Linked DNA regions of Macaca mulatta. The protein of the gene in region 1 binds, or shares a complex with, the protein of each later gene. Links are inferred from orthologs where the notes say so. Each region holds a gene or a part of one and is shown in the gene's direction. Other genes may lie near its edges.

Region 1 (11,510 bases):
TGCCACTAGCACCCCACGAGCGAGTGGGCCGGAGCGCGGTGTCGCAAGCCCCAAGTCCAGAAGGAGACAGTGAGGCCCCCTCGAGCAGGGGGCGGGGAACAGGGCGATCGGGCCTGCACTGCAAGGCTGTGGCCTCGGTTTCCCCCGCAAGGACAAAGGAGGCCACTACAGCGGATGGAAAACAAAGGCGGCCAGCACTGAGGTCAGGATCCGGCCAAAGCAGCTTGAAGGGGGTCCTCCCGCCAGGTGCACTCTGTGTGTCTATACCTGCGTGGGCAAGGGCTAGACGCACGGACGATCACACGTGTGGACCCGCGTTCTCAGCGCCAAGTGAGCCCTGGGCCGCGAAGCCTTTTATGCCCGGCCCGAACCAAGATGTGCGCTGCGCAGGGGAGGGAGCAAACGAGCCGAGCGGTCGGGTCCACTGCACCCTCAGGTGCGGGGGAGCGTGCGGCCGAGTCCATGCGCCTGCGGGAGCCGGGGGGAGACGTGTTGCCTTCGGCCGGGACCACTGCACCGGCTCGCGGGGGTAATGCGGCCGCCGCAGACTCCGCGCACAACTCTGCCTGCGAGCGCGCTGGGTGCCGTTGGAGTCGGGCATGGCCCGGACCCCGGCGGCGCTGCTGCTGGCGCCTCTGCTACTCCTGCCGCTGGCGACCCCTGCCCAGGTCTACCAGGACTATCAGTACTTCGGCCAGCAGGGCGAAGGTGACACCTGGGAGCAGCTGAGGCTGCAGCATCTAAAGGGTAACCTCAGGCGGCGGGGGTGACGATGTCCATAGGCTCCCCGTTGCCCTACTTCTCCTGCTGGCTGCAAAGGGACCTTCCTCCGCGGGCTGCAAATCTCCACCCAGCTCTGCACTGGAGGCGTCCCCTTGGGCTGGTTACTGTTCTCTGAGGCTCGGTTTACTCTTGGATACGTTGAAATAGATACTGCTTTAAAGCAGCTCCCAGGGGAAGAGGGTGTGGGTAGGACATTGAAGCTGTCACTCGGGGATAGGTGCCAGGAAGGGCAGAAGCAGAGAAAGAAGGGGGCGGGCAAGCTTGGGAAGTCAGAGAGGGTCCGGTTGCAGAAGACCCGTGACCAGTGCTGCGAGAACGACAAGCGAAAACCCCAAATGGAAAGATTTGGGGAAAGAATGTCCAAGAAAGAGGGAATAGCAAGTGCCAAGGTGAAAAGGCCTAAAGGAGAAATGGGAAGAGGTCGGTGAGATGTGGCAGAGTGGGTGTGGGAGGGTAGCAGGTGTCAGATCTTGGTGAGCCGCGAGTTGGGATAAGATCGGACTTGGAGGCCTGGCGCGATGGCTCAAGCCTGTAATCCCAGCACTTTGGGAGTCCGAGACGGGCGGATCACGAGGTCAGGAGATCGAGACCATCCTGGCTAACATGGTGAAATCCCGTCTCTACTGAAAAACACAAAAAAACTAGCCGGGCGAGGTGGCGAGCGCCTGTAGTCCCAGCTACTTGGGAGGCTGAGGCGGGAGAATGGCGTAAACCCAGGAGGCGGAGCTTGCAGTGAGCTGAGATCTGGCCACTGCACTCCAGCCTGGGCGACAGAGCGAGACTCCGTCTCAAAAAAAAAAAAAAAAAAAAGAAAAAAAAAAAGATCGGAGTTGGGATAAGATCTGTCTCATAGGGGAAAGGGGCAGATTCAGTAAAGAGCTGTTTGAAGTGATCATAGTGGCCGGCGAGGTAGCTCACACCTGTAACCCAAGCACTTTGGGAGGCTGAGGTGGGAGGATCCCTTGGTCTCAGAGACCAGTCTAGCCTGGCCCACATAGCAAGACTCCATCTTTACAAAAAAGATTTTAAAATTAGCCTGACCTGATGGCCTAGCACTTTGGGAGGCCGAGGCCGAAGGACTGCTTGAGCCCAGGAGTTCAAGACCAGCCTAGGCAACATGGAGAGACCCCCTTCTCTACAAAAATAAATAAATAAATAAAAACAAAAAATAAATTAGCCTGCCATGGTGGCATGAGCCTGTCCCAGCTACTCAAGAGGGTGATACAGGAGGACCATTTGTGCCAAGGAATTTGAGGCTGCAGTGAGCCATGATTACGCCCTTACATTCCAACCTGGGTAACAGAGCGAGATCCTGTCTCAAAAAATAAAAATAAAAATAAAAAATAAAAAATAAACCTGATCATAAAAATTTGGTTTGTATATGCTAGCGCAGCACCAGGAGATTTACTTACCTTCATTCTGTCAATTATGCCATTTATCACTTGATAGTCCTGCTGGTCAGTTGGCATTGTGCCTGCTTCAGGGCCATGGTCACACCCCTGAAGACAGAAGTCAGCATCAGATGGCGGGCACCAAGGATGTTATAGGACACTCACAACTGTGCAGGCTGGCACAGCCTGAAAGTGTCAGGTTGTAGTTCCTCTGAGCCACTTACCCTGTGTATGAGCTTGGAAGGTTGGCTTGCTGTCTCTTGGTTTTCCCACCTGAGACTCATGGAAAGATTAAATGAGGCCAGACATGGTGGCCGGCTCACACCTGTAATCCCAGCACTTTGGGAGGCTGAGATGGGAGTATCACTTGAGCCCAGGAGTTCCAGACCAGCCTGGGCAACATGGTGAAGCACCATCTCTGCAAAAAATTAGCCAGGCATGGTGGCATATGCCTGTAGTCCTAGCTACTTGGGAGGCTAAGGTAGGAGGATTGCTTGAGCCCAGGAAGTTGAGGCTGCAGTGAGCTGTGACTGTGCCACTGCACTCCAGCCTGGGCGACAGAGCGAGACCCTGTCTCAAAAAAAAAAAAAAAAAAAAAAAAAAATTAAATGAGATAGTCTACGGGGGAGTGTCTGGCATAGAGGCAGAGTCTAGCGAATATGCGCTTCTCTTATTTGTTAGTATCTTTATCTTTCTTCCTCTCTGGGGGAGGAGATTGGGAGTAGGCCGCCTCCACGTAGGTCTTCACCTCTGCCCTCCTTCTCTAGAAGTCGAGGACTCAATCCTTGGCCCGTGGGGAAAGTGGCGGTGTCTCTGCGACCTGGGCAAGCAGGAGCGCAGCCGCGAGGTAGTCGGCACAGCGCCAGGCCCAGTTTTCATGGACCCGGAGAACCTGATCCAGTTAGGACCCTGCCGGCAACGGGATTGTCCATCCTGCAAGCCCTTCGACTGCGACTGGAGGCTCTGAGCCCGAGTGAGAGAGGGGCCCAGAGGACGCCGGGCCGGGGCAAGCCGCGGGGCCCAGGGTGGGCGCGGAGGGAGGACGTGCGGTGCGTGGCGGGTATGAAGTGAATTTGGGGAAGGGAGAACTGGGGCTCCAAGTCTTGAGTGACTTGAGGCTGATATGGTTAGGCGGAAGCTGAGTCAGGAGCCGAGAGCCCCGCTGATATCTAGGGAGAAAGGCAGAAATATGGAGGGGGCGCTGGGCGCTAGGACTCACCCCTGTAATTCCAGCATTTTGGGAGGCCAAGACAGGCGCATCTCTTGAGTCCAGGAGTTCAAGACCAGTCTGGGCAATATAGTTGAGATCATCTCTCCATAAAAATGTTTAAAATTAGACGAGCGTGGCGGCACATGCCTGTGGTCCCAGCTACTCGGTAGGATGGGGAGGGAGGATCGCTTGAGCCTGGGAGGCAAAGGTTACAGTGAGCCGAGATCGCTACACTGCTATCCAGCCTGGGAAACAGAGTAACACCCTGTCTTTAAAAAAAAAAAAAAAAGTGGAGGGGGAGGCGCAGAGGAATAAAAGGAGATAAAAAGACAATGAACTAGGACCCTGAGGAAGGGGCATGAGCCTGGTAAGGGGCGGGAACCCACAGGCAGAGGACATAAGCCCCAGTGAGTCCAGGGAATAGAAGAAGTGTGGAGGCCAGGCACTGTGGCTCAGGCTTGTAATCCCAACACTTTGGGAGGCGGAGGCGGCCAGATCACTTGAGCCCAGGAGTTTGAAGCCAGTCTGGGCAACATAGTGAGACCCCGTCTCTACAAAAAATACCAAAAATAGTTGGGCATGGTGGTGTGGTGTGCACCTGTAGTCCAGCTGCTTGGGAGACGGAGGTGGGAGGGTCGTGTCAGCCCAGGAGGTGGAGGTTGCAGTGAGCCAATATCGCACCACTGCACTCCAGCCTGGGCAACAGAGAGAGACCCTGTCTAAAAAAAAAAAGGGGGGGGTGTCGGGGTGGGGGTGGGGACGTTCATTCTAAGTTAGGAGGAATGAGCTTCTATATAGTGGGCACAGACCCTGAGCAGGAGTCCACTGAGGTCTGTGATCTCCAATGGGGGTGGGGAAGGCTTGGCCTGAATGAGAGAGAGGGTAGGAAGCACAGATCCTGCAGGGAGTGGGGGTGGGCTGAAGGCAGCAACCAAGAGAGGGAGTTTGGGGACTCCAAATCCAAAAGCCTGAGTTTAGTGGAAGCGGGGCTACCTGGTTCAGGGGACTTAGAATGTGTACAGAAGAAGGGACTGCAGGCCGGGCGCGGTGGCTCAAGCCTGTAATCCCAGCACTTTGGGAGGCCGAGGCGGGTGGATCACGAGGTCAGGAGATCGAGACTATCCTGGCTAACATGGTGAAACCCCGTCTCTACTAAAAATACAAAAAACTAGCCGGGCGTGGTGGCGGGCGCCTGTAGTCTCAGCTACTTGGGAGGCTGAGGCGGGAGAATGGCGTGAACCCGGGAGGCGGAGCTTGCAGTGAGCCGAGATCATGCCACTGCACTCCAGCCTGGGAGACACAGCCAGACTCCGTCTCAAAAAAAAAAAAAAAAAAAAAGAAGAAGGGACTGCGAGTACAGGGCCTGAATCCAGGTGGAAGTCGGGGACGCAGTGATGCGGGGACCCGTGTCCTGGGACAGGGGTGATATTTGACCCTTAGTTCCCCATTAGGTTGGGTCTTCGAAGCTGCGTCTCAGTTTCCCTTTTATTTCCCCTTTTTCCCACCGGCCAACGCAGGCGGGGCCCCAGAGACCGTGAAGCAGAGCTTGCAAAGTGACCCGGTCCACCGAATTCCCCACGCTGAGTGTTCGGCCACAGTCCTTCGGGACTACAATTCCCAGAAGGGCGCACGGCAGCGGCGTCGGCGTCGGCTGCGTAAGCGTCCACGGCCGTGGGAGCGACAGGGGCGTGTTCTGCCCGCGGATTGGCCGGAAACAGGCGCCACTGCAAGGCCCGCGGAAAACGCGCGCCGAGACCCGCTCCCGCGGTGTTAGTTCTTGCAGCTGGTGGCGGCGGCCGAGGCGGCATGGATCTCAGCGAGCTGGAGAGAGACAACACGGGCCGCTGTCGCCTGAGTTCGCCTGTGCCCGCGGCGTGCCGCAAGGAGCCTTGCGTCCTGGGAGTCGATGAGGCGGGCAGGGGCCCCGTCCTGGGTGCGCACCTAGGGCCAGGGAGGGGAGGGGCGTGGTACGGGGGATGAGGGAAACGGGAGTCGGGATTGCACCGCACCAGGGGAGGGGATGTGGTCGTGGTGATGGCACCCAAAGAAGCAGTGATGGTAGAACAGGGATGGATGGCAACTTTCACGGGCTCAGTGATTGGACCCCGGCTGCGAGAAAACTGACACCCCTTCTCCCCAGGCCCCATGGTCTACGCCATCTGTTATTGTCCCCTGTCCCACCTGGCAGATCTGGAGGCCCTGAAAGTGGCAGGTGAGCCCGAGGTGTGCTTCTGGGGAAGGGATTCCCGAGTATGTGCAGGGGCAGGTGAGAACTGAAAGGGGAGGACAGGAACTGGGAGAAGCAGCTGTTCCACTTCTCTTCCAAACCTCCTTCCAGACTCAAAGACCCTATTGGAGAGCGAGCGGGAAAGGCTCTTTGCGAAAATGGAGGAGAACAGGGACTTTGTCGGCTGGGCGCTGGACGTGCTATCTCCAAACCTCATCTCTACCAGCATGCTTGGGCGGTGAGGGGTACCCGGGGGGGGGCTGTGGGAGAGGGGCAGCCAGCATGGGCTGACTGGGCTTTCTTCCTAGAATGAGGTTAACTGGGCTCTGTTCCCCACCACAGAGTCAAATACAACCTGAACTCCCTGTCACATGATACAGCCACTGGGCTTATACAGTATGCATTGGACCAGGGTGTGAACGTCACCCAGGTGAGTTAAGTGTTGAGTTGTCCCCATTTGGTCATCGCAGGATAAACTGGCGACAAAACAGGAGTTCCAGACTGCAGTGAGCCATGATCATGCCACAGCACTCCATCTTGGGTGACAAAGAAAGACCCCCCTAACCCAAAAATAAAAATGGAGGCCAGGCCCAGTGGCTCACGCCTATAATCGCAGCACTTTGGGAGGCCGCAGCGGGTAGATCACCAGAGGTCAAGAGTTCGAGACCAGCCTGACCAACATGGTGAAACCCCGTCTCTACTAAAAATACAAAAATTAGCTGGACGTGGTGGTGGGCGCCTGTAATCCTAGCTACTCAGGAGGCTGAAGCAGGAGAATCGCTTGAACACAGGAGGCAGAAGTTGCAGTGAGCCAAGATTGTGCCATTGCACTCCAACCTGGGCAACAGAGTGAGACTCTGTCTCAAAAAATAATAATAAATAAAAATAAACTAAAAATAGGAGGCTAGGCACGGTGGCTCAAGGCTGTAATCCCAGTGCTTTGGGAGGCTGAGGCAGGCAAATCACCTAAGGTCAGGAGTTGAAGACCATCCTGGCCAACATGATGAAACCCTGTCTCTACCGAAATCGCTTGAACCCGGGAGGCGGAGGTTGTAGTGAGCTGAGATCGTGCCATTGCACTCCAGCCTGGGGGACACAGCAAAAAATAAAAATAAAAGAAGTAAATGTGGGCAAAAACGTGCAGTGGGCAGATTCAGCATCAGATACGTCTGGAGTGCCTCAGGCATATTCCTTGCTACTGTTGATTTCGTGCTCCTGTTTCTGCCCTAAATGTGTGCCACACTGAGGACCACAGTGTAGCCCCTAGTCCCATCTCCATCTAATCTCTCCCTCATCCTAAAGGCTCAGTCTGCAGAACAAATCCCACATGTGTCTCCCTGCTACCTCTGTCCTAGCCCAGGACACCCCCCACACCCTGGACACCTGCTAAGCATCGTCTCTCATCCCCCACCCTCCTGTCCCCTCCAATCTGTTCCCCATGCAGCAACAGAAGGTAGTCTTTTTGAAATGCACATCTCCTGTGGCTCACACCTGTAATCTCAGCACTTTGGGAGGCCCAGACGGGCGGATCACGAGGTCAGGAGATGGAGACCATCCTGGCTAACACTGTGAAACCCCGTCTCTACTAAAAATACAAAAAATTAGCTGGGCGTGGTGGCAGGTGCCTGTAGTCCCAGCTATTCAGGAGGCTGAGGCAGGAGAATGGCGTGAACCTGGGAGGTGGAGTTTGCAGTGAGCCGAGATCGCGCCACTGCACTCCAGCCTAGGCAACAGAGCGAGACTCCATCTCAAAAAAAAAAAAAAAAAATGCACATCTCAACATTTAGTTTTCCGATCACAGTGGAAATTAAATCAGAAAAATTTACAGTCGAGTGGGGGAGAATTACATTAAATTACCAGAGAAAAACATAAATCAGCATTGCCTCGAATGCTCTCAGTGAAAGAACGGACCATTTTGAGAGAATAACAAGGCAAAATAACCTCGACGTAGGAATTGTATGCTGGGTGTGGTGGCTTATGCCTGTAATCCCAGCAGTTTGGGAAGCTGAGGTGAGCAAATTGGTTGAGGCCAGGAGTTCCAGACTAGCCTGGGCAACATAGCAAGACCCCATCTCTACAAGATGAAGAAAGAAAGGAATTATAGCAAGGTAGGCCTTGCTGAGGAGGGACCTGAGGATCAGGTCCAAATGCAGAGCTGGCGATGCAGTAACTGGCATAGACAGACAAGGGACCTACCCGTGGGGGTTCAGGGCCTAGCCTGGGCAGAAAAATGTTTAGCTGGTAAACAAAAAATAAAGGTGGTTTCTGAAAACAGTACTGCTGTGGAGATACCACTTTCCCCCAGCAGCTCTTGACCCCTCTCTTCGGTGCTGTAGCCATAGACCCCCGTGCAAGGGCCCAGCATCATGGACCTGGTCCCAGCTCAGGGCCTTTGTACTGGCTGTTCTCACACCTAGAGCCCTCTTCCCCAGATCTCTGCACGGTTTAGTTCCTCACCTCCTTCAAGCCTTTATTCACCACTACACCTAGCTAATTTTTTATTTTTTGTAGAAACGTGGTCTCCATATGTTGTCCAGGTTGGTCTCGAACACCTGCCCTCAAGTGATCCTCCTGCTTTGGCTTCCTAAAGTTGGGATTACAGGCGTGTGCCAACGCACTCTACCACTTTTTTTTCTAGTGTTTTCTGCCACCTCAGTTCCTAGAATAGTATCTGGCATGCAGTAGGTGCTAAATAAGTGTAGAGCAGATGCAGCATGATCAGAGGAAGCCTCTTCAGGAGGTGATTTTTTTTTGTTTTATTTTATTGTATTTATTTTATGTTTTTGTAAAGATGGGGTCTCACTGTGTTGCCAAGCCTGGTCTCAAACTCCCAGGGCGATCCTCCCGCCTCAACCTCCCAAAGTGCTGGGATCACAGGCGTGAACAACGTTGCCTGGCCTGGGAGGAGATGTTTGAGTTGAAATCCCTGATTGATTCAGCCTGGGGACGGGCTGTGAGAAGAGGATTCTGGGTAGCAGGAAGAACGTGCCAGGGCTGTGAGGCTAGAGCATTGGTACATTGTTTGTTCAATTAATATGTGTTTGTTGCCGTGGCAGGTGTTTGTGGACACTGTAGGGATGCCAGAGACATACCAGGCGCGGCTGCAGCAAAGTTTTCCCGGGATTGAGGTGACGGTCAAGGCCAAAGCAGATGCCCTTTACCCAGTGGTTAGTGCTGCCAGCATCTGTGCCAAGGTCAGTACCCTAGTAGCCATCGCCGGCTTCCAGCATCCCACTATATAAGGGCCAGGCATGGCCACCACGGGGGAGGAGGGAGATTCCAGGTGGCTGTCTTGCCCACAGGTGGCCCGGGACCAGGCCGTGAAGAAATGGAAGTTCGTGGAGAAACTGCAGGACTCGGATACTGACTATGGCTCAGGCTACCCCAGTGGTGAGCAGACAGTGACCATGGTACTAATGTTGAAATGGCCAGAGCTGAGCACACTTCTGAGGTTTTCTTTTCTTCCTTTCTGTCGTTTATCATTTTATTTTGCTTATTTTTTGTTTCTATTTTTTATTTTTATTTATTTATTTATTTATTTATTTTTTTTTTTTGAGACGGAGTCTTGCTCTGTCGCCCAGGCTGGAGTGCAGTGGCGCGATCTCGGCTCACTGCAAGCTCCACCTCCTGGGTTTACGCCATTCTCTTGCCTCAGCCTCCCAAGTAGCTGGGACTACAGGCGCCCGCCACCTCGCCCGGCTAGTTTTTTGTGTTTTTAGTAGAGACGGGGTTTCACCGTGTTAGCCAGGATGGTCTCGATCTCCTGACCTTGTGATCCGCCCGCCTCGGCCTCCCAAAGTGCTGGGATTACAGGCTTGAGCCACCGCGCCCGGCCATATTTTTATTTATTTTTTGAGACAGAGTTTTGCTCTTGCTGCCCAGGCTGCAGTGCAATGGTGCGATCTCACCGCAACCTCCACCTCCTGGCTTCAAATGATTCTCCTGCGTCAGCCTCGCGAGTAGCTGGGATTACAGGCACGTGCCACCACGCCCGGCTAATTTTGTATTTTTAGTAGAGACGAGGTTTCTCCAGGTTGGTCAGGCTGGTCTTGAACTCCCGACCTCAGGTGATCTGCCTGACTCAGCCTCCCAAAGTGCTGGGATTACAGGCGTGAGCCACCGCGCCCAGCCTATTTTTGTTTTTATAAAAATGGGGTCTTGGTCGGGCGCGGTGGCTCACGCCTGTAATCCCAGCACTTTGGGAGGCCGAGGCGGGCGGATCACGAGGTCAGGAGATCGAGACCATCCTGGCTAACACGGTGAAACCCCGTCTCTACTAAAAAAAAAAAAATGCAAAAAATTAGCCGGGCGAGGCGGCGGGCGCCTGTAGTCCCAGCTACTCGGGAGGCTGAGGCAGGAGAATGGCGTGAACCCGGGAGGCGGAGCTTGCAGTGAGCCGAGATCGCGCCATTGCACTCCAGCCTGGGCGACTAAGCGAGACTCTGTCTCAAAAAAAAAAAAAAAAAAAAAAATGGGGTCTTGTCATGTTGCCCAGGCTGGTATCAAACTCCTGGAGTCAGGCAGTCCTCCCATCTTGGTCTGTCAAAGTGCTGGGATTACAGCCATAAGCCACCACCCCTGGCCCTTTTTTCCTTATTTTTTTAAAGAGATGGGATCTCCCTATGTTGCCCAGCCTGGTCTTGAACTCCTGGGCTTAAGTGATCCTCCTGCCTTGGATTTCCAAACAGCTAGGATTACAGGTGTGAACTACTATGCCTGGCTGGAGGTTTTCTAAATTGTTCTGGTCACCCTACTCCACAGCGAAAGAGGCCAAGTGTTAGACAGTGGTGCCATTTGTTCATGGCCACACAGCCAGTGAGTGACGGAGCTGGGTTCCAGGCCATAGGATTGCTGCTGTCTTCCCCGCTTCCCACTTTACTGTCTCTCTGGAGCCCCAGTGATGAACTGAGACCCACGGTGGGCATCTGCCCCTTTGTTAAGGGGAAGGGGACCAGGCGTGGTGGCTCATGCCTGTAACCACAGCACTTTGGGAAACTGAGGTAGGAGAACCGCTTGAATCCTTGAGTTCAAGACCAACCTGGGCAACATAGCGAGATCCCCATCTCTATAAAAAATTTAAAAAATTAGCCAGTTATAGTGGGGCCCACCTGCAGTCCCAGCTACGCAGGCTAAGGTGGGTGGGTTGCTTGAGCCCAGGAGTTTGAGGCTGCAGTGAGCTATGATTATGTCACTGCACTCCAGCCTGGGTGACAAGGTAAGAGCTTATGTCAAAAAAAAATAATGTTAGCCGGGCGTGGTGGCTCACACCTGTAATCCCAGCACTTTGGGAGGCTGAGGCGGGTGGATCCCTTGAGTTCAGGAGTTCGAGACCAGCCTGACCAACATGGTGAAACCCCATCTCTACTAAAAATACAAAATTAGCTGGACATAGTGGCACACGCCCGTAATCCCAGCGACTCGGGAGGCTGAGGCAGGAGAATTGCTTGAACCTGGGAGATGGAGGTTGCAGTGAGCTGAGATCACACGATTGCACTTCAGCCTGGGAAACGAGCGAAACTCCGTCTCAAAATAATAACAATAATAATGTTTAATGACAGGCTGGGTGAGGTGGCTCATGCCTGTAATCCTAGCATTTTAAGAGACAGAGGCAGGTAGATCATGTGAACTCAGGAATTCAAGACCAGCCTGGGCAATATGGCAAAACCCCATCTCTACAAAAGATACAAAAATTAGCCAGGTGTGGTGGTGCACACCTGTAGTCCCAGCTACTTGGGAGGCTGAGGTGGGCGGATGGCTTGAGCCTGGGAGGCAGAGGTTGCACTGAGCTGCGATCATGCCACTACACTCCAGCCTAGGTAATAGAGCGAGACCCTATCTCAAAAAAAATAAAAAGACTGGGCATGGTGGCTCACACCTGTAATCCCAGCACTTTGGGAGG
Region 2 (11,253 bases), on another chromosome or scaffold:
GAAATTACTGTTTTCTGTCAATGTGGCAATTAACTTCAATGCTTCAGCCGGAATGCTGGCCAAACCGATGGGGATTGTTAACAAATTACAGTCTTCAGTTCAACATAGAAGTAAACATTCCATTTCAACCACAAACGACTTCTGTTTCCAGTGCAATTTAAACTAAAAGATGTTGAAGCAGCCTGGACGTGTTGGTTCATGCCTGTAATCCCAGCACTTTGGGAGGCTGAGGTGGGAGGATCTCTTGAGCTCAGGAGTTCAAGACTAGCCTGGGCAACAAAGAAAAAAAAAAAATTAAAAGAAAAAATTTAAAAAATATGTTGAAGCAACTTTACCTCGTTTATTATATGTATTAGTTTATTTCGTGTTGCTCTGAAGGAACACTGGAGACTAGGTAATTTATAAAGAAAAGAGGTTTATTTGGGTCACAGTTCTACAGTCTGTACGAGAAGCATGGCTCCAGCACCTGCTTCTGGTGAGGCCTTGGGAAGCTTACAACCATGGCAGAGGGCAAAGGGGGAGCAGTGTATCACATGGCAGGAGAGGGAGCAAGAGAGAGGGATGGGGAGCTGCCACACTTTTAAATAATCAGTTCTCATGTGAACTTACTACCACTCATTACCTTGAAGAGGGCACCAAGCCATTCCTGAGGGATCCACTCCCATGGCCCAACCCCTCCCACTAAGCCCCACCTCCAACATTGGGGGGGTCACACTTCAACATGAGCATTGGAGGAGATAAGCATCCAAACTATATCATGATATTCATCAGACTTTCAATATAGTTCGTGCCACAGCTTCATATACAATTTCACTTCCAGTCTTATCCTCATTTTTTTTTGCTGTACTTTTATATTTGTTAGCCATTCCCCCTTCCAGTTATTCATCCGATTTTTAAAATTATTATTATTATTATTATTATTATTATTTTGAGAAGGAGTCTCGCTCTGTCACCCAGGCTGGAGTGCAGTGGCACAATCTTGGCTCACGGCAACCTCTGCCTCCCAGGTTTAAGTGATTCTCCTGCCTCAGCCTCCGAGTAGCTGGGATTATAGGCGCCCACCACCACGGGCGCCTGGCTAATTTTTGTATTTTTAGTAGAGACGGAGTTTCACCAGGTTGGCCAGGATGGTCTTCAACTCCTGACCTCAAGTGATCCATCCACCTTGGCCTCCCAAAGCGCTGGGATTACAGGTGTGAGTCACCACGCCCGGCCCAATCATTGAATTTCATAAAATGTTATATCTGTTGATCACTGAGAGACAAGGAGGCAACCCAACTATACACTTGTCTGGCGTCTGCATGAGCTGAATGACAGACCAGCACTGACCAGCCAATCACCACTAGTCTTCGAAAGCAGTGATGTTCTAATCATGATGCCCATCTGTTATTTATGTCATGTTTTTTGGACTAAAGAGCCAGCAGCAAGGTTTGGACCTTACAGAATTCGTTAAAATTCCATGGTAAATGAAGTTTGAACCATGCTGGTGGGGAGACCATCCTGGCTAACACGGTGAAACCCCGTCTCTACTAAAAAATACAAAAAACTAGCCGGGCGAGGTGGCGGGCGCCTGTAGTCCCAGCTACTCGGGAGGCTGAGGCAGGAGAATGGTGTAAACCCGGGAGGCGGAGCTTGTAGTGAGCTGAGATCTGGCCACTGCACTCCAGCCTGGGCGACAGAGCGAGACTCTGTCTCAAAAAAAAAAAAAAAAGAAAGAAAAGAAAAGGAAAGAAAAGAAAACAAATTACAAGGTGTAATGAAAACAAACAAAAAAGAAGATGTAATGATGAGGTGAAATTATCATTATTTGAAAGAGAGGTGGCTAATTCTGGCTAATATTTTATTTTCTTAAGAAAATAAAAATCATTAGGAACAAAAGAATTCAGTAGATATCTAGTTTGAAAATTAACATATAAAAATCAACAGGTTTGCTACAGACAAGGGGTCTGAAAAATATGGCCTGTGGTTCAAATCCAATCCACTGTCTGTTTTTGCAAAGATTTACTGGAACACAACAATGCTCATTCATGTATGTACTGTCTATGGCTGTTTCCATGCTAGAATGGTGAAGGTGAGTAGCTGTGACAGAGACCATAAGGTCCATAAAACCTAAAATATTTACTATGTGACCCCTTACAGAAAAAGTTTGCCACCCCCTGCTATAGATTAAAAAAAAATCAGTCAGAAAATAAAATGAAAAAATAAAAGCCCCAATTTTGGTTTTTTTTTTTTTTTTTTTTTTTGAGATGGAGTCTCGCTCTGTCGCCCAGGCTGGAGTACAGTGGCGCGATCTCAGCTCACTGCAAGCTCCGCCTCCCGGGTTCACGCCATTCTCCCACTGCAGCCTCCCGAATAGCTGGGACTACAGGCGCCCGCCACCTCCCCCGGCTAGTTTTTTGTATTTTTAGTAGAGACGGGGTTTCACCATGTTAGCCAGGATGGTCTCGATCTCCTGACCTCGTGATCCACCCGTCTCGGCCTCCCAAAGTGCTGGCATTACAGGCTTGAGCCACCGCGCCCGGCCCCAATTTTGGTTTTTAGAGACAGAGTCTTCTTCTGTAACCCAGGCTGGTGTGCAGCGGTGCAACTGTGACTCGAATAACAGCCTCAAACTCCTAGGCTTAAGTGATCTTCCCACCTCAGCTTCTTGAGTAGCTGGGACTACGGGCACATGCCGCCGTGCCCCACTCATGTTTAAAACATTTTTTTCTTTGTAGAAACGGAGTCTTGCTATGTTTCCCAGGCTGGTCTCGAACTCCTGGTCTCAAGCAATCCTCCCCCATCTTGGCCTCCTAAAGCACTGGAATTACAGGTGTGAGCCAGTCATGCCCAGCCCCTCAGTTTTTAATACAAACAATTATTAATATAACCTAGGAAGAAATAAACTTAAACTATTATATATGAACAAAACCTCACAACTGTACGGATATCCAAGGAGATGTGAATAAATGGAATTAAGTATTTCGTGATAGAAAACTAAAGCAAGCCTTTTTCTAAATTAATCTGCCACTCTAGCCAAAGACCACCAGGAATACATCTGCAGTTGAACAAATTGGGCATATTACTCCTGCACTCTGGGGCATTTCAGTAAGAAGGTGCTAGAAAGGACTTAAAGGAGGATTTGTGCCCATGTTCAGTGATTTCAGTCAGGGTTTAGGGAAGCCAGGCTTCTCTCTGGCTTGGATGCTGTCAGAGGTGGGGGTATGTCTATGACGGACTATCTTAATGAATCTTGGCCAGGAGAGAAGATTAGTTGGAGGCTAGTGCTGTAATTGGTAAGGAAACAACAGTCACTCTCCTGTGGGAGAAAGAGGGATGTTTCATGCCTTTTGTGGTTTGGACAGTGTTCACCTTTGCCAGCGTTCAGATGTGATGATGGAGAGGTTCTGTTTCTGTCTTGCTCCCTCATGGTCACAGAGTGACCTTGTCCGATGCTGATGTTCTCTGAAATTTATGTTCAACAGAATACCAAGGCCAGCTCCCAGATGTCCAGGGATGTATAAATTAAACGCAATTTAAATCTAAATTTCCAGTTTTGTGTTTATGTGAGAACTTGAAAAAATAATATCTAAGTTGGGTGTCTGAACAAATAAACATTAGAGAAGAGTTGAGAAACCAAAAAGAGAATTGTGAAATCTAAAAGACTGAAAAATGTTGATAAATTTGACTACAAAAAATAAGTCTTTATCCCGGGTACAGTGGCTCACGCCTGTAATTCCAGCGTGATTTGGAAGGCCAAAGCGGGCAGATAGCTTGAGTCCAGGAGTTCAAGACCTGGGCAACATGGCAAAACTCTGCCTCTACCAAAAATACAAAAATGAGCCGCGTGGTGGCGCAGGCCTGTGGTTCTAGCTACACGGGAGGCTGAGGTTGGGGGATGGATTAAGCCTGGGAGGTCGAGGCTGCAGTTAGCCAATCAAACCACTGCACTCCAGCCTAGGTGAGTGAGACCTTGTCTATAAAACCAAACAACAACAAAAATAAGTCTTTGTCCACCAAAAATCACCTTTACACAGGTTTGCAAGACAGACCACAGATAAAACATTTTCAATGCATTTGAGAAAAGGGTTGATGTCCCTAATAAACTAAAAATGAAGAACCCATCTACCAACCAATATAAAGAGTTCAGAATCGTTTTAGATTTTTACAACGATCATGTCCCATTAAAAACAATACAAGAAAAAAACCTGGCTGGGCGCGGTGGCTCACGCCTGTAATCCAAGCACTTCCGGAGGCCAAGGCTGGAGGATCACCTGAGGTCAGTAGTTCGAGACCAGCCTGGCCAACATGGCAAAACTCCGTCTCTACTAAAAATACAAAAATTAGGTAATTAGCCTGTAATTCCAGCTACTCCGGAGGCTGAGGCAGGAGAATCGCTTGAACCCGGGAGGCGTAGGTTGCAGTGAAGCTGAGATCGCGCCACTGCACTTCAGCCTGGGCGACAGAATGAGACTCTAAAAAATAAAAAATAAGAAAAAGAAAGAGGGAAGGAAGGGAAGGAAAGGAAGGAAGGGAAGGGAAGGGAAAGAGGGGAGGAGGGGAGGAAGGGAGGAAGGGAGGAAGGGAGGGGAGGGGAGGGAAGGGGTGGGGTGGGGAGGGGAGAGACTGGGCGGGGCGCGGAAGGGAAGGGAGGGGAGGGGAGTCCTAGGACTTTGACCCAGGGAAAGCATTAGGGGTAAGGGGACTACACTTCCCGTGAAGCTCCGCGGCGGCTTCCCGTGAGGCTCTGCGGGGGGCTTCCTGAGAGGCCCTGCGCGCTTTCCGCGCCAGCTTCAGCGTCAACCCGCGAGCCCTTGCGTCGCGTAGAAGCGAGGATGGAGTGCGGCGACGAAGCGGCCATCGAGAGGCACCGCGTCCACTTGCGCTCCGCCACGCTGCGCGACGCCGCCCCCGTCGCACTACACCTGCTGCCCTGCGAGGTCGCGGTGGACGGGCCCGCCCCGGTGGGGCGCTTCTTCACGCCTGCCATCCGCCAGGGCCCCGAGGGTGAGCATCGCGGCCGGACTACAGTCCCGGCAGCCCCCGCGCCGGTCCGCGCGCCCCTCATCTCCTGGGCTCCGGGGGATCGTGGTGCGTCCGGAAGTGGCGGGAGGGCAGCTCCGGGCTCGCTCCGCAGGGCTCAGGTCCTGGGCCCAGTGTGGGTCCTGCCTGAGGCTCTTTGCGCCTCCCGCTCCAGGACTCGAAGTGTCATTTCGGGGCCGCTGTCTACGGGGCGAGGAGGTGGCGGTGCCGCCTGGCCTCGTGGGATACGTGATGGTGACGGAAGAGAAGGAAGTGTCCATGGGGAAGCCAGACCCCTTGCGGGATTCCGGGACTGACGACCAAGAAGAGTCGCCGCTGGAACGGGACTTTGTGAGCAAAGGGATAGGGTTGAAAGGGGGTGCGGGCGGGACCTGTAGTCCCGATGCTGAGCCAGGCCCCTTCCTCAGGACCGCTTCATTGGAGCCACTGCCAGCTTCAGCCACTTCACCTTGTGGGGTCTGGAGACCATCCCTGGCCCGGATGCCAAAGTGCGTGGGGCCCTAACTTGGCCCAGTCTTGCGGCAGCGGTGAGTAGATGAGGAGTTCCGTCTTGTCCCCGGGTGGATGGGCTGTGGAGCACAATTGGGCAGACGAAGCCTGGAGGATTCTACTGGGTAGTGCGTGGGAAGCGTAGCTCCCCGACCACTCTTCCTAGCCATGTCTAGAAGGGGTTATTCTGAACAGCTGGGTCCTTCCCCGGGTCTGGGGGCCAGCCTGCCGCCCTGCCTTACAAGTCCAACAGTAGAGGCGACTCCTCTTGCAGATTCACGCACAGGTGCCCGAGGACTGAGAACCAGAGCTTGAAATTCAAAGCTGCGATCCCTTCACAGCAGTAAACCAGCTCTTTGGAACCACTGATTCCATCACCCCAATAAAGGAGCTCTTTACAGCACCTGTGAGTCCGGGCACCTTAGAGCCCCTAAGCCAGCATGGACCCCTCTCCCCCAAGAACCTTGCATGGCTCTGGCATATAGAAACAATTTATTGCCGTGGGCAATGGGGATAAGAGAAGCCAGAATTTTTTGCAGCCAGCACCCACCCCACCCCCAACTTCTACTTTACAAAAGAAATTTTTACAACCACCAGCCCTCTGTACAGAGCTCCCCCACCCCCCATCTCACTGTACACAGCTGCCTGGCTCCCTCTGATCCCTGGTTCAGAGCAGGCCTGGGCCTGTGGCCAGCTGACCTTGGAGTTAGCCTGAGCCCTGAGCTCGCCTTGGTGCCGGGCACCAATGGGCCCTGCCAGGCCTGTCCCCTCCTTTTCGAGCTTTTCAGCCCCATCTCCCTTAGAGTGCTTTGTGGGAGCTGCAGTGAGGGCGGGGTGGGCTATCAGCCCCAGTCCTGCTGTCTTAGCACTGCAGTGGGCAGTGCCTGGTCACCACTTCCCCCTCTTGCTCCAGTCCTTGGGAGTGAAGTGCAGACACTTGGAGTCAATCCGCAGGAGCCGCTTGAGCATAGCCCGCTCATGGCCATCCACGATGTCCTCTGACAGTGTGAGGATGTACTGGCCCTGGGCAGAGGAGATGGGTTCAGCAAGTGGCCAGCGGACAGGGGCCTGCACTCTGCATCCCACACACCTGTCTCCACCCTGCCTGCCTCCCTACCTTGTAGTAGTTGATGAGATTGAGGTACTGCAGAGTGGAGATGACATCCTCCTTCTTGATGCTGGTGATTTCACTGATCTCACTGTAGGAGAGCAAAGGTCAGGTCCCCTGAGGACCTTCATCTGTCCCCAGGAGCCCCAGGAGAGAGTGAGAAAGCCCAGGAACAGACAGGCCATGCCATGTACCCCCAGGTAGGCAGCGCCAGGCTCACTTGATGGTGATCTGTGGCCTCTCCCCGCTCTCTGACTTCAGCCCCATCAGGATCTCCAGGATGGTCTGGGACCAGTAACTTCGATAGGATAGGAGGCCAAGGTCTGAGAGGGGCTTCTCAGGGGTCCCTGTTTTCCCTTCCACTTTGGAGAGTTCATAGCCTAAAGCAATGGAGCAGGAGAGGGTGAGTAAGAGGTCATAGATGAACATAAGCAACATTTAAAAACACAGGTCGCCAAGGCAGGCTGCCTAGTTCCCATCATGGCCCTGCCACTTGGCAGTTCTGTGGCCTCCGCCTCTCTGCGCCTCAGTTCCCTCAGGAAGAACTAACGAGTATTCACTCTTCCCCTGGGAGTTGAGCACAGTGGAGGGCATGAGAGCACTGAGAGGAGCAGCTGCAGTCAACCACGAGGGTGATCAGAGGCCAGTGAAGGCTTATGGGCAGGGGATGCAGGGAAAATGGCTCAGGGGAAGAAAGTGCCTCCAATTTTCCTTTGCCATCCCAGGCTCCATGTCTGGGCATGTAAGGAAGGAAGTGGGGACAGATTCCTGTCTCTAATCCAGGCCTGAGAATGCTTGAATTCTCAGTCAAATCAGTCCTCCTAGCTGGGATCTTGGGAGTGTCAGCTGCTGTTAAGACCTGAGTGGCCTGACTGGGTGGTTGTGAGGATGCAAGGAGAAAAGGTGCACCAAAGTGCTTCCCAAGTTGGGGAGACCATTCCTGAGAGCCAGGTGACTGACCCCCACCATGGCTGTTTCCCTCCAACTCCTGCTGATAGCTGCGCACTGGGAGGCAGTCCCCAGTGAGATCCTGGCCCTGCACAGCCCTGAGTGGCTTCACATCTCTTGGGCAGTGTCTTCATTCTCCCCACCAGGGACCTGGGATGTTTGTGACTTCTAGAAGCCCTTCCTCACCCTCACAATGGACCTTAGCCCCTTGGTAGTCCCACCCACATCCCATCTCCATTGCAGTCTGAGCTCCAAGACTGAGTTTCTTCAAGCATCCACTTGTGCTACCAGGCTGAGAAGTTCTGAGGATGTGACCCCATCTGGGCATCACTTAACCAATACATTTCTCGAATGGACCATAACCTTGATCAAGTAAAGCCTCTGTGTCTTCACCAGGCAAACAGCTAGAACTTCCTCTTCTTTTCTCAGGTCAGAGCTTAGTTATTCCAAGTGAGTGGTGAGATAGAATGCGGGGTGATGGGGAAGAGGCTGAGAAGGAGAAGGAGCCTCAGGGTTGGGGAGGGCACTGAAGAGCTCATGTGTGATGAAGGTCAGAGTCCCTTCTGGCTTTAAGAGACTGACCTCACTGGACACGAGGAGCAAGGGAGAATTCCATGCTTACGTGTATCTGTTGACAGCATTTTGGACACCTGCCTGCACGGCTCAGGCGACAACTGGGGACATTAACCACTGGTCCTTGCCCAAGGACTTGTATCATGTGACACCGGTTACCAGATACATGAGCACCAGCGGCTCACTAACCTGCCCATGGCTCCAGGCAGGAGCATGTAAGTCAGATTTGGGGAAAGCTGAGTGGCACTTAGAACCCTGGCCAAGGAGCAAACTGTGGGGCTGAGAACCTACCCCAGATAAGCAGGGCAGTCAGCCTGAATGGAGAGAACTCTGGGAGAGTGCCACTGTTATTTCTGGCTGGCTCCCCTAGAGACCGGGCTGCACAGCCACGGTTGAGAATCACGGTAGCCTGGCACATCTGCCTATGGGGCACCGATGATGGGTGCACTACCCCCTGGCTGCAGCACACATACTCACTGAACTCGATCAGCAGCTTGCCGTAGCCCCGGCGCTGGTAGGGAGGCAGGGTTAGGATGCAGGCCACATTGTAGTCTTCTGTCGATTCTTTCTCCTGGAAAAGGGGGGCAGGTGAGTGTCAGGGAAGGGACCTGGCTCAGGATAGGGCACAGGGACAGCCTGGACAGGCACTGACCTTGGAGAAGTAGCCCACGATGTGGAAGCCCTTACAGTCATACTCCGTCATGACGTAGAAGAGGAAAGGGTCTGTGTCATAGTACAGTGTCTTATGGTCAAGGAAACACTTGGCCAAAAGACACAGGTTCTGGGAATAACTCTGCAAGAGAAAAGGCTTGTCACCATTCTGGGTATCCTGCCTTGAGCCTGGCCAGTGGTTCAGGGTCAACCAGGAGCTTCACTGTTTGTGCTATGCCCCAGACTGATAGGTGATGAGTATTCTTCCCTGGCTGGGCCTGACCCACTCCACTAGCCCGCAGCTTACGCAGGGCTGCTCCTCAGTGTTGAAAAGCCTCTGTGCCAGATGTGTGATGTGTCTGAATGCCTCCCTGCTCAGTCGGGCAAGTTTCCCGACTTACTCTGCACACCTCCATCTAAGCCTGGCCAGGAGACTCCACCCTGTAATGTTTTTAACAGCAATCAACAAACTAATGTGTCCAAAGTCAGACTCCGACCACCGCTCCTCAGAGAAGCTCTCTCTGACAGTCTTGGGAGTCTAGCTGTTAAAAAACCTAACATTCTGGCCGGGCGCGGTGGCTCAAGCCTGTAATCCCAGCACTTTGGGAGGCCGAGACGGGCGGATCACGAGGTCAGGAGATCGAGACCATCCTGGCTAGCACGGTGAAACCCTGTCTCTACTAAAAAATACAAAAAATTGTCCAGGCGTGGTGGCAGGCGCCTGTAGTCCCAGCTACTCGGGAGGCTGAGGCAGGAGAATGGCATAAACCTGGGAGGCGGAGCTTGCAGTGAGCTGAGATCCGGCCACTGCACTCCAGCCTGGGCGACAGAGCGAGACTCCGTCTCAAAAAACAAAACAAAACAAAAAACACAACATTCTGCCGGGCGCGGTGGCTCATGCCTATAATCCGAGCACTATGGGAGGCTGAGGCGGGCGGATCACGAGGTCAGGAAATTGAGACCATCCTGGCTAACACGGTGAAACCCCGTCTCTACTAAAAATACAAAAAATTAGCCAGGCGAGGTGGCGGGCGCCTGTAGTCCCAGCTACTCGGGAGGCTGAGGCAGGAGAAGGGCGTGAACCCAGGAGGCGGAGCTTGCAGTGAGCCCAGATCACGCCACTGCACTCCAGCCTGGGCAACAGAGTGAGACTCCGTCTCAAAAAAAAAACACAAAAAAAACCTAACATTCTACATCCACAGTCACACCTCCTGGGAACTGATCTGCTACTCTACGACAGAGTTAAGGAACTATGTAATTTAACAAAATAACTGCCTTAGGGATTACCCCAGCAAAATTATGAATCATGCTGCTTAACCTTACCTCTGCACATGATTTCTCCTGCATTTCAGACATTGTGGGTTTTTTGTTTTTTTTTTTTTGAGACAGGGTCTCACTCCTGTCGCCCAGGCTGGAGTGCAGTGGTGCAATCATGCAGTCATGGCTCACTGCAGCCTTGACTTCCCAGGCTCAGGTGATTCTCCCAACTCAGCCTCCTGAGTGAGTACCTGGGACTACAGATGTGCACCACCACACCCAGCTAAATTAATTAATTGTGGTTTTTTTTTTTTTTTTTGAGACGGAGTCTCGCTCTGTCGCCCAGGCTGGAGTGCAGTGGCGCGATCTCGGCTCACTGCAAGCTCCGCCTCCCGGGTTCACGCCATTCTCCTGCCTCAGCCTCCCGAGTAGCTGGGACTACAGGCGCCCACAACCGCGCCCGGCTAATTTTTTGTATTTTTTTTTTTTAGTAGAGACGGGGTTTCACCGTGGTCTCGATCTCCTGACCTTGTGATCCGCCCGCCTCGGCCTCCCAAAGTGCTGGGATTACAGGCGTGAGCCACCGTGCCCGGCCTTTTTTTTTTTTTTTTTTTTGAGACAGAGTCTCGCTCTGTCGCCCAGGCTGGAGTGCAGTGGCCGGATCTCAGCTCACTGCAAGCTCCGCCTCCCGGGTTCACGCCATTCTCCTGCCTCAGCCTCCCGAGTAACTGGGATTACAGGCGCCCGCCAACTCCCCCGGCTAGTTTTTTGTATTTTTTAGTAGAGATGGTGTTTCACCGTGTTAGCCAAGATGGTCTCGATCTCCTGACCTCGTGATCCACCTGTCTCGGCCTCCCAAAGTGCTGGGATTACAGGCTTGAGCCACCGCGCCCGGACAATTAATTGTTTATTTAGAGACAGTGTCTCGCTCTGTCTCCCAGGCTGGAGTGCAGTGGCGCTATCTCGGCTCACTGCAAGCTCCGCCTTCCGGGTTCATGCCATTCTCCTGCCTCAGCCTCCCGAGTAGCTGGGACTACAGGCGCCCACCACCACGCCCGGCTAATTCTTTTGTATATTTAGTAGAGATGGGGTTTCACCGTGTTAGCCAGGATGGTCTCGATCTCCTGACCTCATGATCTGCCTGCCTTGGCCTCCCAAAGTGCTGGGATTGCAGGCGTGAGCCACCGTGCCTGGCCAAATTTTTT

Evidence for each region.
Region 2: the proteins of RNASEH2A (region 1) and RNASEH2C are in contact, whole or in part, in a crystal structure (PDB 3PUF), measured with the Homo sapiens proteins. The link is inferred for Macaca mulatta from reciprocal best matches to the Homo sapiens genes RNASEH2A and RNASEH2C. Residues at the interface, in NP_006388.2 of Homo sapiens: Thr11, Asn99, Ser102, Thr103, Leu106, Gly107, Arg108, Val109, Val196, Glu197, Lys198, Leu199, Glu225, Pro226, Val227, Phe228, Gly229, Phe230, Pro231, Gln232, Phe236, Leu245, Ala249, Glu250, Asp251, Val252, Ile253, Trp254, Glu255, Asp256; in NP_115569.2 of Homo sapiens: Pro33, Cys34, Glu35, Val36, Ala37, Val38, Ala42, Pro43, Val44, Gly45, Arg46, Phe47, Phe48, Pro50, Ala51, Arg53, Ser62, Phe63, Arg64, Gly65, Arg66, Cys67, Leu68, Leu134, Glu135, Thr136, Lys143, Gly146, Ala147, Thr149.

What each region holds. Positions count from the first base shown.
Region 1 is NC_133424.1:13,357,653-13,369,162, forward strand, and holds the start of RNASEH2A (ribonuclease H2 subunit A), read left to right. Parts: upstream 1-4,901; 5' UTR 4,902-5,190; coding exon 5,191-5,317; intron 5,318-5,524; coding exon 5,525-5,596; intron 5,597-5,722; coding exon 5,723-5,849; intron 5,850-5,953; coding exon 5,954-6,041; intron 6,042-8,667; coding exon 8,668-8,805; intron 8,806-8,913; coding exon 8,914-9,001; intron 9,002-11,510. Other genes in the region: THSD8 (thrombospondin type-1 domain-containing protein 8), read left to right, coding at 600-747, 2,942-3,141. UniProt on the Homo sapiens protein: Catalytic subunit of RNase HII, an endonuclease that specifically degrades the RNA of RNA:DNA hybrids. Participates in DNA replication, possibly by mediating the removal of lagging-strand Okazaki fragment RNA primers during DNA replication.
Region 2 is NC_133419.1:8,668,247-8,679,499, forward strand, and holds RNASEH2C (ribonuclease H2 subunit C), read left to right. Parts: upstream 1-4,694; 5' UTR 4,695-4,814; coding exon 4,815-4,986; coding exon of another isoform or gene 4,987-5,070; intron 5,071-5,176; coding exon 5,177-5,352; intron 5,353-5,429; coding exon 5,430-5,549; intron 5,550-5,785; coding exon 5,786-5,812; 3' UTR 5,813-6,399; coding exon of another isoform or gene 6,400-6,534; exon of another isoform or gene 6,535-6,627; 3' UTR 6,628-6,628; coding exon of another isoform or gene 6,629-6,710; exon of another isoform or gene 6,711-6,839; coding exon of another isoform or gene 6,840-6,999; 3' UTR 7,000-7,221; downstream 7,222-11,253. Other genes in the region: histone acetyltransferase KAT5, read right to left, coding at 6,400-6,534, 6,629-6,710, 6,840-6,999, 8,618-8,711, 8,793-8,933.